2 linked regions of the Rhinolophus ferrumequinum genome follow. Each later gene encodes a partner of the first gene's protein in a complex. Links are inferred from orthologs where the notes say so. Each region holds a gene or a part of one and is shown in the gene's direction. Other genes may lie near its edges. The genes, in order: PSME4 and PSMB9.

The links.
Region 2: PSME4 (region 1) and PSMB9 share a complex: the UniProt entries of both Homo sapiens proteins name them as parts of the spermatoproteasome. The link is inferred for Rhinolophus ferrumequinum from reciprocal best matches to the Homo sapiens genes PSME4 and PSMB9.

The regions. Positions count from the first base shown.
Region 1 is NC_046296.1:33,424,884-33,433,197, forward strand, and holds the start of PSME4 (proteasome activator complex subunit 4), read left to right. Parts: upstream 1-4,309; 5' UTR 4,310-4,332; coding exon 4,333-4,574; intron 4,575-8,314. UniProt on the Homo sapiens protein: Associated component of the proteasome that specifically recognizes acetylated histones and promotes ATP- and ubiquitin-independent degradation of core histones during spermatogenesis and DNA damage response.
Region 2 is NC_046286.1:3,315,672-3,324,466, forward strand, and holds the start of PSMB9 (proteasome subunit beta type-9), read left to right. Parts: upstream 1-4,938; 5' UTR 4,939-5,078; coding exon 5,079-5,138; intron 5,139-6,997; coding exon 6,998-7,065; intron 7,066-7,777; coding exon 7,778-7,909; intron 7,910-8,521; coding exon 8,522-8,651; intron 8,652-8,795. Other genes in the region: TAP1 (antigen peptide transporter 1), read right to left, coding at 82-270, 429-557, 1,393-1,590, 2,017-2,222, 2,981-3,111, 3,275-3,389, 3,873-4,470. UniProt on the Homo sapiens protein: The proteasome is a multicatalytic proteinase complex which is characterized by its ability to cleave peptides with Arg, Phe, Tyr, Leu, and Glu adjacent to the leaving group at neutral or slightly basic pH.

The DNA.
Region 1 (8,314 bases):
CACTGCTAATAAGTGGATTACCAAGTAGTGGGCCAATAAGTATATCAAAGACATAAATATTTGATTGATAATTATCCCTGCCAATTCTTCCAGCTTGAGAAGAAATCTCTCTCTTTAGAATATTTTCCATGAAGGGCTATTGTACTTTCAGGGTCTTCCAAAAAGGATGATTACAGTTCGCTTCCTCCAAGAGCCTAATAAGAAGCCAATGTCTCCCTCGGGGTCTGACTAAAAGGATAATGTGCGTTAATATCCTTTGGCAGAGTATCCTGAGTTCTAAGAGATTTAAAAAAAAAAAAAATGCTTGGGAGTTGTTGTGAGGAGAAAACTGACCCAGACTTTGGGTTAACTGTCTTCAGGGATGAGTAGCCTGCGTATCCCTGAACAACTTAAAGTCTACCAACTTTCTCACCTAACGGGGTTTTAATAGTGTTTTCTACTAAACTTCACATAAAATAACAGAAAGACTTTATCTCTTTTGCTCCAACAATTCTTTTGACTTTTCCAGTTCAGAAATCCACTCCCAGGAAACTTGACATCACCTGGAACTGCTTCTTTGAAGCTGTAAATCCAACATTTCAGTTCTTCCAGACCCCTTGCCCAGGCTAATCCAGTCATATCGTGCTGCGCCACTTCAGGATCGGAGTCCCTTGATCTCTCTGTTCTCTGCTTGTAGGTCCTCTTCTGTCTTCACTTTGACTTTAAGGGGAGCAGAGTTTGCCACACCAAAATATGCCTTGTTGGGATGTTGATTATTTTAAGCTGGTTATCGTTTAAGAAACAAAAGACTCCAGGAGAACCTTTGACCTTCCCCCTAACTGCCTAAAAAATTTTAGATAGAGGGAGAACCTGCTCCAGTAAGGGAGCTATTATTACAGATAACTACAGTTTAATATGAATTAACTGTGATAAACAGGAAAAAAACTACCAAAGCCTTTGATCAAAGTCTTCTTTGTGGTTTATCGTTAAAATGGGCCAACAAACATCTGTTTACCAAACATTTGCTTTCCCATCTCCATGTGAGTTGCCTTTTTTGCCTTTGAAGCCCCGAACTACAACTCCCCCCTCCCACAAGCCACGCCCCCCCCACAACCGTACCCCTTCACCTTAGTCCAAAATGGCATATAAACCTCAACTGTCAGATTTGTCCTTGGGTCTCATGTTCTTATGGAACTCTGTATGTACATACTTAATAGATTTAGTTATTTTCTCCTGTTAATCTGTCTCTTCAACTTGATTATTAGACCAGCCAGAAGAACTTAGAAGAGTAGGAAGAAACTTATTTTCTTCCCCTACAATTTCAACCAACTTAGGCACTCTTTCAAACATTCTCAACTCAATGATCGATATTTAGAGAAGAAAATTCAATGAGGTAATGTAGGTAAAGCACCGGCTGAGAGAAGTGCTCAGCAAATGGTAGCTAACACCACTACCATCACCACTGCCATCATACAGACCCTTCCCTTGCTCCTTTGTCATTCTATCATACCAGCTTGTATGTATACATTCCTGGGCTGCTAAACATTATTGGAGGAAAAAAATCACTCAATTGTGCAGAGAGACGATAGTGAATTCATGCTTCCAGCACTGTCAAGCAATTCTACTATTTCTCTAATCAGTTTTCTGAATTTTGAGACCACTCTAAACCTTTTCCAATCTCCTCAAATCTTCTACCCATCCCTTCCTCCCATCATTCTCATTCTCTTCATTCAGAGAAAAACAAAAACAGTAATCATCAAAAAGAACTTCTCCAACTTCTGGCCAACAAATCTACAAAACCTTTCTACATTTGCATCTATCCCCCTACTTTTTCCCTCTGACAATGGGAGCAACCTTGTTTACTTCTAAGGACCAATGACTCCGCCTTCTCTTCCACTCTCTGTCATCCTCACCCACACACTCATATCTTCAAACTCTCTCTCCATTGGCTCCTTCTCATCAATATTTAAACAAATTTAAATATATCCCTTGCTCAAAAATTCCTTTTTATTCCAGCTACCTCCTTCTCTCTCCTGTTCTTCCCACACAAAATTTTATGAAAAGGTAGTTCACATTTGCTGCCTCTATTTCCTGTTTGTCCTCTGTCACTGTAATCTGGTTTCCACTCCCACATTCCACTGAAACTGTTCTTATCTGCTTTATCAGTCACTGCAAGGATCCCTTCTCAGGTCTCAGTTGACCTGTCAGCCACCTTCTGTGTAGTTGATCACGTCCTCCACCTGAAACAGTTTTTAGGAATGCCCACTTTCCTAGAATGCCTCCGACCTCTCTGACTGCTTCTTGTGAGTGTTCTTTGGTCTCTCTCCTCTTTCTCTGTCCAGCTTCAAATATGGGGTTCCTCAGAGTTTGGTCAAGGGCCCTATTTTTTTCATATCGTTAAATTAATTAAACAGGAGACCCTTAGTCTGAGGTGGTAGCTAATGCCTTGGCAGCCTACTTCAGCAAATCAAAATTTAAGTGTAAATACCTCAAGGTTATGAAATCTAACCGCTAAGGACAAGCAATCACAAGTAGTCAACTAGGCTTGAAGCTACAGCCAATCAAACAGTTTCTTTCTTTGCTTTCACACCTTCTCTATAGTAAAAGTCTTTCTTCTGGCTCCAGTCAGTGGAACACTCTTAACCATTCCAGGTTTGGTGCTGCCCAATTGGAACAGATTTTTGCTCCAATAAACTCTTCAAAATTTTAATATGCCTTAGTTTATTTGTTAACAATACTCTGCATCTCATTCCCTCCGATCCACATATAGGTTAATCCATATCCCCATTGAGATCATCCTTCCTCATCCATACATCAAAATAGTAATACTTACCTACCCCTTAGGCATTCTGCCTTTAAAGCTGTTTCTGCTATGTTCTCAAGTCAGAAAAGTTTCCACTATTTACCCAGCTTCCCAAACCAGAAATCTGACATCATCCTGTCTCTTCCCTCTCTTTCACTTTTAGTATTAAGCTCAGGCCATTCTTCTTGCTTAAATAGCTCTCAATCATTTCAACTGACATCTAGACCATTGTTATGTCACATTTCCTTAAGGGGTCCTGTATTGTCCAGTATTGTCTGTTCCAATCCATTTTTAGAAATGGATTAGAACCACAAAGCCAGAGTGGTTCTTCAAAAATGTAAATTATATCATGCCACTCTTACGCTTAAAATCTTTCGGAGTTTCTTGTTGCTTTTAAGATAAAACTCTGAAAACATCCTAACACTTCCTTCTGTCTCAATTCTCCACTCCCCTCTCTTGCAAACCATCTTCAGCCATCCTTAACTTTTTGAACTTCTAGGGTGCATGCTTGCAGTCTCTGTGCTGTTCCCTCAGGTGAAATGTACTTTCTCTTCTCTTCTTTTTCTAATCAATTCAGCACTTAAGCCTTTAAACTCAATTTACGTATCACTTCTAGGAAACCACTTGACACCCCTCCAGTTTGAACTCTTTAGCTATTCCCAAGGCGTCCTGTACTTATCTAGCAATTAAAGAGTGTTGTTTTGTAATTGCCTATTCCCTAGTCTACAGCTCTGACTGTAAATGCCCGGAGGGCAGAAACTTGGTGCTCTTTAACTTTCCATCTCAAGTGCAAAGAAGGAGTCTGACACACAAAATAGTGGTACAATTAATATTTGTTGAAAGAATAACTATTTCCTTCTTTGGAATGAGGGCAGCCAGGAGAATACCAGAAAGATGAGGGCTTAAAAGGGACAGAGTAGTGAAAAAAAAAAAAAATCTATAACAAGAGGGATGGATACCGGGTCCCTAGGTTTTTCCATACACGCGGTGTGGGGAACTAGGCCAACTGCCGTGCCGGAGGCAACGGCGACTAAGGGCTCTCGAGAGGCATTCGCCAGGAGCGCCCAACACCGGCCCAGGAAGGACAATAGCTTGGAATTCGGCCTCGTGTTTCCGGCGGGGCAGCCTCGCGTTCGGCCGCTCAGGCCCGAGGGTGGGGGCTCCGAGCCCGGCCCACGGCGACGAAGGCGCGGCCCCCGGGGCTCCCGCCCCCGCCGCCACCACCTCCTCCGACGCCGTCGCCGCGCCCCGCCCCGCCCCGCCCCGGAAGTGACTTGAGGCCCGTCCGGAACCTCCGGGCCCGGCGGCTGCAGCGTCATCAGGCGAGCCGGTGCGGGGCAGGCGGAGCGGCCGCTGCCGCCGCTAACGAATTGGGGATCGCGCGGGACTAAGAGCGAGCCGGCCAGGGGAGGGGGCCCAGCTGTCGGGCCGAGGGCGACGGGCCGCCGGCGGCCTCAGGGCGACGACGACGCAGAGGAGGCGGAGCCCGGAGAGGGGTGGGGGCCGGGGAGGGTTAGGGTGGGAGGGGGTGGAGGGGTGTCCCTGGGCTCATGGAGCCGGCCGAGCGGGCGGGTGGCGGGGATCCCCCGGAGCCAGGCGGGTGTCCCGGGCCGGGCCCGCGGGCCTTCGTCCCGCAGAAGGAGATTGTCTACAACAAGCTGCTGCCCTACGCCGAGCGGCTGGACGCCGAGTCCGACCTGCAGCTGGCCCAGATCAAACGCAACCTGGGCCGGGCCGTGCAGCTCCAGGAGCTGTGGCCCGGGGGCCTCTTCTGGACCAGGAAACTCTCCACGTAAGTGTGACCGGGCCTGCAGGATGGGTCTGGGGCAAAGGCTCAAAGGAACGGCGTTCGGGGGCGGGGGCGGCTCTTTGTCCGCCCCTGATGGCTGGACCCTCAACTCTGACCGTATCGAGCCGGTGCAGTAGTCCCAGGGTCGCAACAGAAGCTTCGGAAGCACTCAAGCCTCCTCCCAGCCTCTTTCCTACGGGACCTCCTCGGTCCTTCTAGTCCTCTACGTCCGCCGTTGGTGCTTTTCCCCAGGGGTTTGGGTTGTTGTCTTCCGACCTGCGGGGCCCCGAGGGAGAGACATGTGCAGTCCCCCAAGGGTCCTTCTTGGATCTTTGCCCCTGCAGGAAGGGGAGCAGAAAGGATTCGATTTCGGCGGAGCAACTCTTGATTTCTCCTAGTTCCTCCAGTTCTTTCTTCCCCATACGATCCCCGACTCTAAATAGCCCTCAATTCGCGTCTAGTAACTTTTTCTGAATGGGAAGGAGGCCGTAGGGAGCTTGCAGGTTCTACATTTTTGGGCCTGCTCGGTCTTTGTGGATTTGATTGAAAAGATTGCTTTAAAATCAGCCCTCAGCGCACACTTAGGCTGCATACTAGACAGTAATGTTGAGAAGGTTGAGTCTTAGAACGGGGAAAGTGTATATTACTTCTGTTTGGAAATGTACAATACTACGGAAAGGAGAGGAGAACTGTCAGGTTGTCCTGGGCGTTATTAGTTATTAGTATTGGGTTTGTTACTTTTTTGAGTTGCTGAGATATAACTGTCGATTACCTAAATCAGTTTCAGGAGTTCTGTTCTTTTATTTTTTTAGCTGCGAACTATAATTGGAGAAATGAGTAAAATACAGTTGTGGGGGGAAGGTTAGAGATTTTATTTGCTAGATGGACATCTTCCCTGTGTCAGAAAAACTTTTTTAAAAAAATTTTGCTTGTCTTGTTTGGCTCATTACATAAAATGTTAACATTGTATGTTCATGCATAGGGGTATGGATGGATGAATACTTAAGACATGTCACCTATCCAGTGTTTACCCAAATCTGCTGAGTGAACTGGGTGATGACTCAGGGTTTTGTAATGCAATAGTCTTCTCTACATTTCCTCACAGGATGATTCTTATATGTCTATTATTAGGGAGCCTCTGATTAATTTCTCATCTTCACTTGGCGGTGGTGGTGGGAACAATTATCCCTTTAATTAAAAAGCAAAACTAAAACAGTTTATTTACCCTTTTCAAAGAGTGACCATAAAATGTCAAGGTTAACATCTCTCCTCTTGGTTGGAGAGTGAAGTTTGTGGTGTTCAGATCCGCAGGAGACATGGGAAAAAAGAAATGCAACAGGGAGAAGAACCACTATTAGTCAAAACAGAGAATGTTTTATAAATAATTAAAATTCACATGATTTTTCAAGTGCACCTTCCTGGGTGTTTCGATTACTCAGGCATAGTAAAAATAAAGTTACTTTGCCAGTTCCAGCAATTCCCCATTTTAATCACTTGTATTGGATTTGCCAGAGAATAACCATTTAGGGGGACACAAACAGCTCCTTTTAGATGTGTAATATATAAATATACCAATTGTGAATGCATGTCTGATTTGGATTAATGAATCTAGAATCTACACAGGCATAGTTAAGTATTGTTTTCTGACATTATTACTAAGCTTGGCAAATTATCACTTAGGGTTTTATTATTTTTGGCTTATTAAGTGAAAACCTAGATAGGGCAAAAAATACAATAGAGACAACCCTTGGTGTTTAGGGCAAGATTGCAGTTTTGTGGCTTAATATTGTGAACTTAAAGCCATTTTATTTCTAAATAACCAGCAAGAAATGCTGTCAGATAGAATTTTATTTTGGAACAGTGGTTAAGTGCTTCAAACTGATTTTTGGGATTGCCCTATGAGACAATTTGAACCCGGTGGGACATGTTGTGATCTTGGGTGTTATTTTTCCTCCTAAGTCATGTTAAGGTGACCTGTTTATAGTTGTGCTTGTTTATTAAGTCTTGTGTGCATTGCACAAGTGTACATCTAAATGATGCCAGAACATGTGATGATAGCTGTGAATTACTTGAGTAGTGATTATATTTTAGTACTTTGTAGAAGAATGGAAAGTAGTAATGAAAATAAAATCTAATTTCTCCCACTAGTTCTGTGACTGTGGAAAGTTACTTTAATCATGTTTTTCAATATTCTTGGGAGAGAAATGAGGAGGTTGGACTGAATAATTCCTGAGAAACAGTCCTGCGGTGGTATTTTATGATTTTATTTTTTATCCTGTAGAGCCTCAAATAAACCAGTGTGTATTTTTCTCCGAGGACTGTGAGCAGTTTGTAAAGTACACAGTACATTCCTAAAGAAGACCAGAGTGTACATGCTCTTCAAAGTCGCTGGGACTGGATCCCCGACCAGAAGTGTACACCCCTAATCTGAGCGTCACAGATCTGGGTGGAGGTAGAGTTCTTTCGAAGACACTCAGCCTCCCTCTTTTTAACGTTTTACCACAGTTTTGTAGATGTCATAATTCTGTTTCAATCCACTTTGAGACTTGTGGGTCTGTTTCGCATCTCTGTGAAGAAAGGTTATTTCTGGGTGTTTTAAAAATTGGTCCTGTGAAATAACACAAATTCTCTTGTACAGACAGTTTAAAGTATTAGCACTTCCTCTTCAAAAGAGATTGTGTAACATAACTCATCCACAGGGCCATTTTCTAAGAAGCAAGGAAACAAATTAGAGAAGATAGACACAAACTACTAGTGGTCTTTGGAAAACAGCAGTAAAGATAGCTGGTAGACAGTAAGTGAAAGGTATTGGCAACTGGAATGGCCCAGGTAGAGAATAAAGGGAGTTGAAGAAAGGTAGTCTTGAAAAATTGCTTTTTCTGCCTTGCCTTTCTTCTGTACCTTTCATGAAGGCAGTGAGGTCTAGTCCTAAGACCTTAGTTTATCTGTACCTGGCTTTGCCACCAACATTATTGTCTTGGTTTTCCTTAAACTCTCTTAGCTTTAGGAAAATGGGAGTGTAAATTATTAGTGTTTTTTCAAACTCAAAACTTAGCAGTGGACCGTTTCATGAAAGCAAAATCTTAAACACAAAATTGGATTCCTTAAGTAGACTAAAACTGCACTGATTATTTTTTCTTTGTAACACTTCATTGATAATAGAACCTCCTGAAGCCTGCTCAGGGCTCCAACACATATTGTTTGAAAAACTTCACTGGACTAGTCCTAAGGGTCTTTCTAGCTAGCTTGTGTTCCTTGAAATTGGTCTGGAGGAAGGAGGGGCAGCAAGTGAATGGGCCTACTATTTCCTACAGGCTTACTCCATTCATGATCTTTTCTTTTGTCTTTTTTTTTTTCCAACAGAAATTTGATTTTAGTGAAGTGTGTGGGCTTGGTGTATTATGAAGCAGATTTAGGTCCTCTGTTTGTTACAATGTTATAGTCTGTGCTGTTTTGTAATGAAATGACTATTATACTGAGGAATCATTTCATTTGCAACTGAAACTAGCTATCTTGTTTATTATCAAGAGCAGTATGTAGCTTTCCAGGATAGAAGTTGGATTATCCCCATTGAAACTACATATTGTATTTAATTTGATTATATAACCACTGGAAACTTAAATTGAATTAAGATATGAGTTATCAAATACACTTAGATTCCTCTTGGGAAAAGTAATAATGTGAACACAGGAGCACCCAAATTCATATCATCTCTGTTTGGGGGAAGAAAGAAGATGCTAACC
Region 2 (8,795 bases), on another chromosome or scaffold:
GCAGGCTGGAGACAGGAGGAAACTTCAGGAGCGGAGGGTTGAGAGTGTGTTTGATGGCGTGCAGGCACTGGGAGGTTGTACCTGCAGCACGAGGACATCTGGATGGTTTGGGTAGGCAAAGGAGACATCTTGGAACTGAACGACGCCCTCCAGCTTTGAAGAAGTCAACACACCACTGGCTGGGCAGCAAGGGATCCGGTCCAGATACTCAAATATTTTCTCTGAGGAGCCCACAGCCTTCTGCACCCTGGGATAGCTGGAGAGTAGTACCTGGAGGGGAGGTATGCATAGTGAGGTGGGGTCCAAATCTGTTTGCCAGGGCTATGTGATGGGAGAAGGGTAAAGAATGGGAGGAGAGTGACACAGAGGGTGACACAGAGGGATGGGGCAAGGAAGACCATTGGGGAGTGCAACTGGGAGGGCCTCACCTCAACAGCTGTGGTGAACTGGATCTGGTAGAGAACAAACGTGACAAGGTTCCCACTGCTGACAGCCCCATTGGTCACCAGCTGCCCACCAATGTATAGGATTCCCACCTTCAGCAGCATCCCTGAGATCTGTGGAGAGATCACGGAGAAAAGGGGTTGTGGTAGAAATCTAACAGCGGGGCACAAAGAACCAGAATCCTTAGCGTTAATGAGATATAAAGTCCCTTTCCCCATGTAACAGCAGGACGCTCCGTAAGTAGAAAGGGAGAATGAACCATAGAGATGCCGTGCTCTTACTCAGTGACACGTGACAGAGTCACCATCATCATCACCATTATTGGCTTGTTTGGGGAGCGTCTTGCTCGTCACAGAAGGCTTACGTGAATATAATGTAAGCTAATATTCATATCAAGAGCTCTGTAAACCAGGTTATATCACTCCCACTTGTTAAAAATGAGGGAACAGTCTCAGAGAAGGTAAGTTACGAGGCCACGGTCACAGAGCTAGTAAATGGCAGCACCAAGCCAGGAGCTTCTGCTTGCTGGTCTAGGCCTCTAAAGACGCCACAGGTGCCCCCATCTTTGGCTTCTGCTATTCCCGTGGCTCTCACTAGCACATCACACAGTCCCAGCATGAAGCTAGCCCAGGTGCAGGAATTTCTGGCTCCCTGAGCACCCTCTGAGAAGCAAAGGAGGCTCTAGAAGGCATGGAATCTTCCTCAAAAGGGGGTTGGGCAGATTTTGTGTGCCACAGAGAAAGAAAGCCATCTGCTAGGTGCTTGCCTAAAAGGAGGGAGTGGGTCAGGAAGCCTGAGTAGGGTAACTGAGCCTCAGGTTGCTAGGATGAGAACACTGAAACCCCCATTGCCCAGTGGAGGAGGAGTGTGGAGCCGGGTCACGGGAAAGGGAATGGAGTCAAGGTATGTTGGGGGAAAGGGAGCAGGCCTTCATCTCCAGGTTCTCACACTAGTGGTCCAGAGGTTGACTGCATAGGCCAGGGCCTCCTTCTGGTTGAGTGTCTCCATTTCCTGCAGCTTTTGCCTAAACTTCTGGGCCTCAGCCTCCTCGTTGGCAAAGCTCCGGACTGTAGGCATAGCTGACAGGACTTCAATGGCCACCTGGCTGGACTTTGCCAGAGATTCCCGCACCTGTACTGCCAGCACCTGTGGAGACATGTCCAAGCCAGGGTTGGCAAACCATAAGGGACACTAGTACCTGAGTTACCTGGTTGGAGATAAAAGGTGAGAAGAGACAGAGGGACAGGAGAGAAGAGAAAGGGACTTGGCTATATCCCTGGGATCCTAAAGAGATCCAGAGGAGAGGAAAATGACTCAGAAGCGTGATGGGATCATATTCTTGAGATTGGTGATCGTAGTCTTAAAGACAGACTGTGGGCAGAAGTTAGAAAAGAACACACAGAGACCATGAAGACTAACAGTGAGCAATGTGGGAACACGGACTACAGGAGTGGGGAGTCCCGGGAACATGGAGAATCAGCCAGGGTGCAGAAAAGAAAGCGAAGAGGAACTGGGTCCTCCAGGTGAGGGAGATGAGTGTCTGTGTAGGTTGAGGCAACTCCTTGGACATACCTGGTACCATTTTCCCAGCTTCTTAGGCAGAAGGAAAAGCAGAGGCAGGGAGATGAGGGTGACCATGGTGAGGGACAGTGACCCCCAGAGCATGAGCCCCAAGAGACACAGCCCCCGCACCAGGTACCACAGCAATAGGCTCAGCTCCTCACTCAGAGACTCACTCAAGGTGGACGTGTCCTCTGTTACTCGAGATGTGATGGCACCTGGCAGGGGTTGGGGAAAAGAGAGAGGAGTGAATGACAGGCTCAGAGTGATGGGAGGGACCAGTAGTGAGCCGGGGTCCAGGGGGAGGGGTGTCAACATGGTGTTCTAAGGAGGCTGGGAAAAACAAGTCGGGGTACAGGGAAGTTTGGGGGTCTCAATGCAGGGAGAGTATGTTAGACAGGGAAAGTCTGGCCAAAAGCCTTCATTTTAATTGTAAAGAAATTGACGCCCATATAAATTCCCATATTTCTGTTGCTTAAAGAACTTGCATACGCCACGCTGTACACATAGGCAGGAAGAGCTTAGGCTGGTTATATCACAGCTGGAGGAAAATGGAGGGTGCTGCTAGAAAGCAGTCCAGGAAGCTTTGGGAATCAAGAGATGGGTTCTGTCCTCAAGTTCGTCTCTATCCATACGTGACCATGCAAGTGTCAGCACTTAAGAGGTTAGGCCTGTTTCCTTCTCTGTAAAATGAGGCAGTTGGACTCTGATATCAAAATGTCCAGGTTTGCAATGTTATAGTTTCCATCTAAATACATAAATAGAGATAAATTTATGAAAAAACCTTGGCTGGAAAAACTAGGCTTTTCTGAAGGTAAAGAGTACAATATTTTGCTCTTGAGGCATACCAAAAATAAGAAATGACAATGTCTATGCGAGAGAAAGAAAGAGGGAGATATCAAAGTTATAAGTACAAGGGGATCTCAGGGAATATAAATAGCATATGGATGTACAATGGAAGAGTTTCATGAGAAACCTGTTTGGTTCTGTTGGAAAAACTCTGTTTCCTGGCGCAGGACAGCCCGAAACACCTCTCCCTGCAGGTGACTGTGCACGCGGCCCATGGTGCAGTTATAGATCCCATCAGCCATGAACTCAAGCACTGCACTGGAGACAGACAGAGACAGAGGGTCAAGGGTCAATGTGTGCTCAGGGGACAGAGCAGGTCCCTGCACTTTAGACGGCAGCCTCCATTTCCACCTCCCTCTTTTGCAGCCCCCCGACCCCCCACCACCGCCTGTTCTCAGCCTTCCACCTTCAGCCCCCAGACCTGGCTATGGTGAGAATGCACATGAGAGTTATGTTTCGGGTGAAGGCAGCTGCTGCCTCATCTTGGAGAATCCAGTCAGTAAGGCGGCCGGTGAAGAAGGGAATGGCCATCTCACCTGCGATGGGACAGAAGAGATGAGTCAGTCACAGATATCAAGTCTAAACAGGCCAGCCCCAACCAGACCGCCCCCGCCAGTATCCTGGAGGGCAGCGGCAGAAAGTCCTCACAGAACACAACCCAGCACCTGAGCAGGCCGGCTTGGAACTTTAAAGCTCTGCGGCCCCACCAGACCTTGAGGAGTTTAATTAGGAAGCCTAGAGATCATGGAGTATCTTAAGATACCCTTGTATGAAAAATACTGCCTCAGCGGAAAGGACTTGCCTACCCCAGGAGGCCTAGTGAAGTGACGCCTGGGGCAGCACTGGAGTCCAGGTCTCCGTTTCCCACCCCGTCCAGGAGTGGTCTCCTCAAGACCCGAGCTGAGTCCCCTTTCTCTGACCCACATTTCCCAGAGCTCGGTAACCTATCTCACGGATCATTACTCTTGATTCCTGCCCAGTTCCCCAGCGTCCATCCCTCTGGCCCTGAACCCCCTTACCAAGGCAGGAGAGGACCAACAGGACCAGAATGAACGGGAGGCGACGTATCTCTGAGCCCAGGCAGCCTAGAAGCCGACGCACCGCGTCTCCAGAACCCCTGTGACCTCCCAGCATCCAAAGGCTCCGGAGCTTATGCCACAGGGCGGCTGCGGGCAGTGCCGCTGCGTAGCTGAGGACGAAGGCGTCCAGGCGACTTCCCCAGTGTAGTAGCCTGGTGCTGTCATTGTCCGTGGAGAACCCCCACGAGCCCAGCTCTCGGAACAAGGCAAGTCCTGGCAGAGCCAAGCCCAGCGCCGCCGCCAGTGGCTCCAAAGCAGCCAGCCATCCCTGGACTTCTTTGCTTTCACTCTTGGTGCCAACTGTTGCCCTGAGGACCCCACGGGCCCCCAGCCACAGCACTGCCCAGCGGCTCAGGCCTACTACCCAGACCCTGAGCAACGGCAGCGCGGCGGGCACCAGCAGGGATGACATTCCGGGCAGCGCCGGCCGGAGCAGCACCCAGTCGGCGAGAAGCAGCAGCGTTGACCCCAGCCACGCGAGGAAAGCTCGGGAGAGGCAGTGGCACCCGCACGGAGCGGGGGGCGCTGAGCTTGCCATGGGCGGGCGGGGGTCGCGCCCGGGCCTGGGACTCTCGGCGGTCCCCGCTGGGCCCGAGGCTCTGGGTGCTGTGGGAGTCTGTCCCGAGCGCGCGGGGACCAGCGGCCGGGCAGGGCGCGAGGGGGCGGGCGGGCGGCGCTCTCGGAAAGCCCCGGGAGCCGGCAGAGCCCGCGGTGCTGGCTAGAAGCGAGCCGTTTAGGGGAAAGGGAAAACGAAAGCGCCGCGGCACCAACCAGAGCCTCCCACTCGCCGACGCGCCGGCCCCACTCTGTCGGGAGTGGCCGTTTAATCAGTTCTGAGGTTCTGGGGAGCTGCCTTGGTGCTCCACCTCTCCATCACGCACACCCGTCCGTCCTCCTTTTCTTGCCACCTCAAGTAGGATCCACTTGTCAAGACTTCTTTACCCCAGCCTCAGAGTGGGGCTCTTTAGTCACCTGTCTCCGGGCAGATCTGCCCCACACAGGTTAGCGTCGGGGCGCTAAGCCTCACGGAGAGGACGCTGGCGCCCCCTGGCGGGCGAGGAGAGGGGGCGGGACTGTAGCGTGCGCGCAGCTGGCTGTCCCAAGTCCGAAACCAGTGCCGCAGGCGGCGAGGAGCGCGGCGCCGAGATGCTGCGGATCGGAGCGCCAACCGGGGACTTACCCCGGGCCGGAGAAGTGCACACTGGGGTAATGAGTCTGGGCGTGAGGGTCAGCAGAGGGGTGGAGGAAGTGGGGCGACAGGGGGATTCTGGAAGCGCCAAGGAGTGAATACGGAGACTAAGAGTGAGGAGGTTCCTTGTAGCACCCAGTGCTTGCACCCTGCAGTGAATCCAGGGCGTCTGTTCTGAAGGGGATCATCTTGGGGCCCGCAAAGGGCCTGGGCACGCGAGGCTGGTGGAGAAAGGGGTGCTTTGGCTCTTAGCTGGAAGCGTCAAGGGGAAGCTGCTTGCTCTAAAGCGCTTTCGCTTTCACTCTGGACTAGAGAGAGGGGCTGGTTAAATCAGGAGGGGGCTGGAGAAGGAGCAAAGAGATAAGGAAACGGTGCTCTGGATGCAATAGGACATCATTTGGGGGGTGGGGTATGGGCACTGATTGAGAAGAGCCAACTCATCACACAGAACTTTGATAAACTGGCACCTGGGCAACTTACAGCCCCAGCACTGATACTGAGGTTTCCATGGGAGCCCGTGGTGCCCTTCCCCAGCTTGGCCCAGGAGGGCACCTGCTTGGTCCAGGTGCCGCCTGCTCCCTTCCCGGTGCCTTCTCTCCCCACTCCCACGCACGTGCTGGGGGGCTTTGCCCAGGCTGGGCTCCTGGGGCAGACGGCAGCCCACCGCTGGCTGGCTTCTGCTCCCAGACTATTGCTACCATTCTTGGCTTGGGGGTACTTTATTACAGAGGAATAGCCCCGAGGATGAGTTGCCCCTGCTCTCTGGCCCTCTATTCATGGTAAATCAGTATGTGAGAGAGGACTCACGGGCGATATGCCCGGAGGGCTGGGGGGGGGGCAGAGTAACTTGGGGAGTGGTGAGAAAGAGAGTAATAATCCCACTTATAAATTAGAAAATCTCTCTCCTCACTGCCAGATGAGCAGCAGAAAGTAGGAAGTAGCAGCCAAACAGAGTGGACCTGGGTTTTAGACCTGAGTCTGTTATTAATTCTGAGTGATTGGATAAGTCACGTGCCTTCTCTATGACTCAGTTTCCTCATTTGAACGAAGGATCTTTATGCCCTTTTCCAACTCAACAGGACTAGATAAAGTGTAGCTTTATCCTCCTTTACTCTTCTTTAATTTCTTTTCTTGACCTGAAAAAGTCAGCTGAAACTCTCAAATCAAATCCTCTCTCAGTACAGATTTCTTCCCCTGACTAATGAGATATCTATTTGCCTCTTAATCAGAAATCCTTACTTGAAACCTTTGTTTTAAACTGTCTCATATGCTCCTTGCTGCTTTCTTCCTTTCCTGAGACGTGACCCTGCTGACCATGGACCCCCTCGACATTTTCCAGGGTTCAATAAACTGAAAGAGCTCACTTCTGATTAAGGGGGGGATGGGGAGGATGTAGATGGAGGATTCTGGACCCCAAAAAAGACCTGCGCTTGTTTCCCAAGGTCACGGTAACTTGCTTCGCCAAGTCTGTACCACATCTGCCATACAAGCACATGAGGTGGAGATAATTTACTTGTGAGGCTGGCTCACCGGAGCTTGGAAGAGCCCACTAAGCCAAATTTCTGCCTCTAGTAGCCTCCTCCCCACCTCTCTCTTTACAAAGGAAAAGATTCCACTTTGGAAGTTTGGGGCTTAGGGATGCAGTTCTTCCTGTGTTGTACCATGGCCAGGCTGCCATTCCCTTGAGCCGGGAGAGACAATAGAGAAAATGGGAAGATGGAGAAAAAAATCCTGTACTGGAGTTAGCTCTGGCCTGAGTTACTGTGTGACCTTGAGCCAGTCCCCTCCCCTCTCTGGGAAGGTTTCCTCTGGGAATGTGACAGGAAGGGATCAAGGCTTTTCTTGCTCCGACATTCTATCCTCTGTGTCTCTGCAGACAACCATCATGGCAGTACAGTTTGATGGGGGCGTTGTGGTGGGTTCTGACTCCCGAGTATCTGCAGGGTAAGTACCAGCTTTGGAAGAAATCTACGGGCCCCAAATATGCCTTTTCCTTACCCATTCATTAAGAGTCTGGTGAACTGGAGCTTTGGAGAAATGGAATTAACCTTTCAGAAAGATTACTAATAAGCTATTAAGTGGGTGCTTGTGTCTCTGAATTCAAGGAGGATCATACAGGGCCTGAATGCTACGTGGCCTGTCCCTGGAAGGAATAAGGTCTGAGAAGGGGATAGTGAGAGAGATTTGAGGGGCCCTCGTTCCTTCTATAGTTAGAGGCAGAAAAGATGGTTCTGACAAGATGAAATTCTGGTTTCTCATCTATCACCTATTGAACTAATTTTGTCTTCCTCCTGGTCAGTTTCCTAACATGTAAAATGACTATATGGGATTAGATCAATATTACTTACTTTATGTTTAGAACACATAACTTCCTCAAGATGGTTACTAGCAAAGAAAAATTGATGAGGAACATTAGTCGTAACTTAATATTTTTTATTTTGTTATAAAATCTGAGCCTAAAAATAAGTCTAATTTTGATTACTTGCAGTGTTTCATTTACTTCAGATGATTTTTTTGCTCCCTGCTTTGATCCAAGCATTACATTTCGTGCACTCCGTGGTCGTTCTCTTGTCAAATAAATATGAGGAACATTAGACAATTAACCTCAATCTTCCTGCAATTCTAACGCCGATGATTGTCGACCCCTCCCTGACAGAGAGGCGGTGGTGAACCGAGTGTTTGACAAGCTGTCCCCACTACACCATCGCATCTACTGTGCTCTCTCCGGTTCGGCTGCTGACGCCCAGGCTGTGGCCGACATGGCTGCCTACCAGCTGGAGCTCCATGGGTATGAAGCTTTGGGGTCCTCACACTACACCTGCTAGCGCTCCCCCAACCAGGGAGCCCCATAGTGTCCTGTTCCAGGAGCACTGCAGTGGAAAATGAAAAATTCTTGTTTTGGCTCCTGCTTTTATTAGCTTTTAACTGGCACTTGAGTCTCTCAAGCTGGTTTCTACATCTGTAAAGTGGGGATAATACTCCCTCACCAGATGGTTATTTTAAGAACCAAGTGATATAGGTGAAGGCAGTTTGAAAACTGTAAATCACTATCCTGACATGAATAATGAGGAAGAAATGATAATGTGGCCCACATATCAGGTTACCGTATGAGAAGTAATGTTTATCTGCTTTTACCCACAAGCGCAGGGTCCTTGGAGCCAAGAGAGTTATGTGATTGGGGGGTGGCGGGCTGGACAGAGTAAAGGAGGGGAAAATTGAGATCTTCTTATCAATTGGCAGTGTGAGACTCAGGTTCCCCTGCACACGTGGGAGGGGAGCTGGAGTTTGACCTATTGTAGCTATAGGTTTCAGGTGTCACTTGGCAGGGATGACGGGAATGGCACAGGACGGTGAAACTTCAGGAAGTTACATTGACCCCTATTCCTAACATTTCCTTCAGGATGGAACTGGATGAACCTCCGCTTGTTTTGGCTGCTGCAAATGTGGTGAGGAATATTACCTATAAATATCGGGAGGACCTGTCTGCACATCTCATGGTAGCTGGCTGGGACCACCGTGAAGGGGGCCAAGTGAGTCTCTCCCAAGGCACTCCCTCCCTGGGGGTTCCCCACGCCCCTCGAGAGGAAGTGAAGGTCTCATGTCCTTCTAGCAGTGAGTTCCAAAGACACTGCCTCTCTAGGCATAGTACAGTCTCCACCAATGGAGGTATGAGA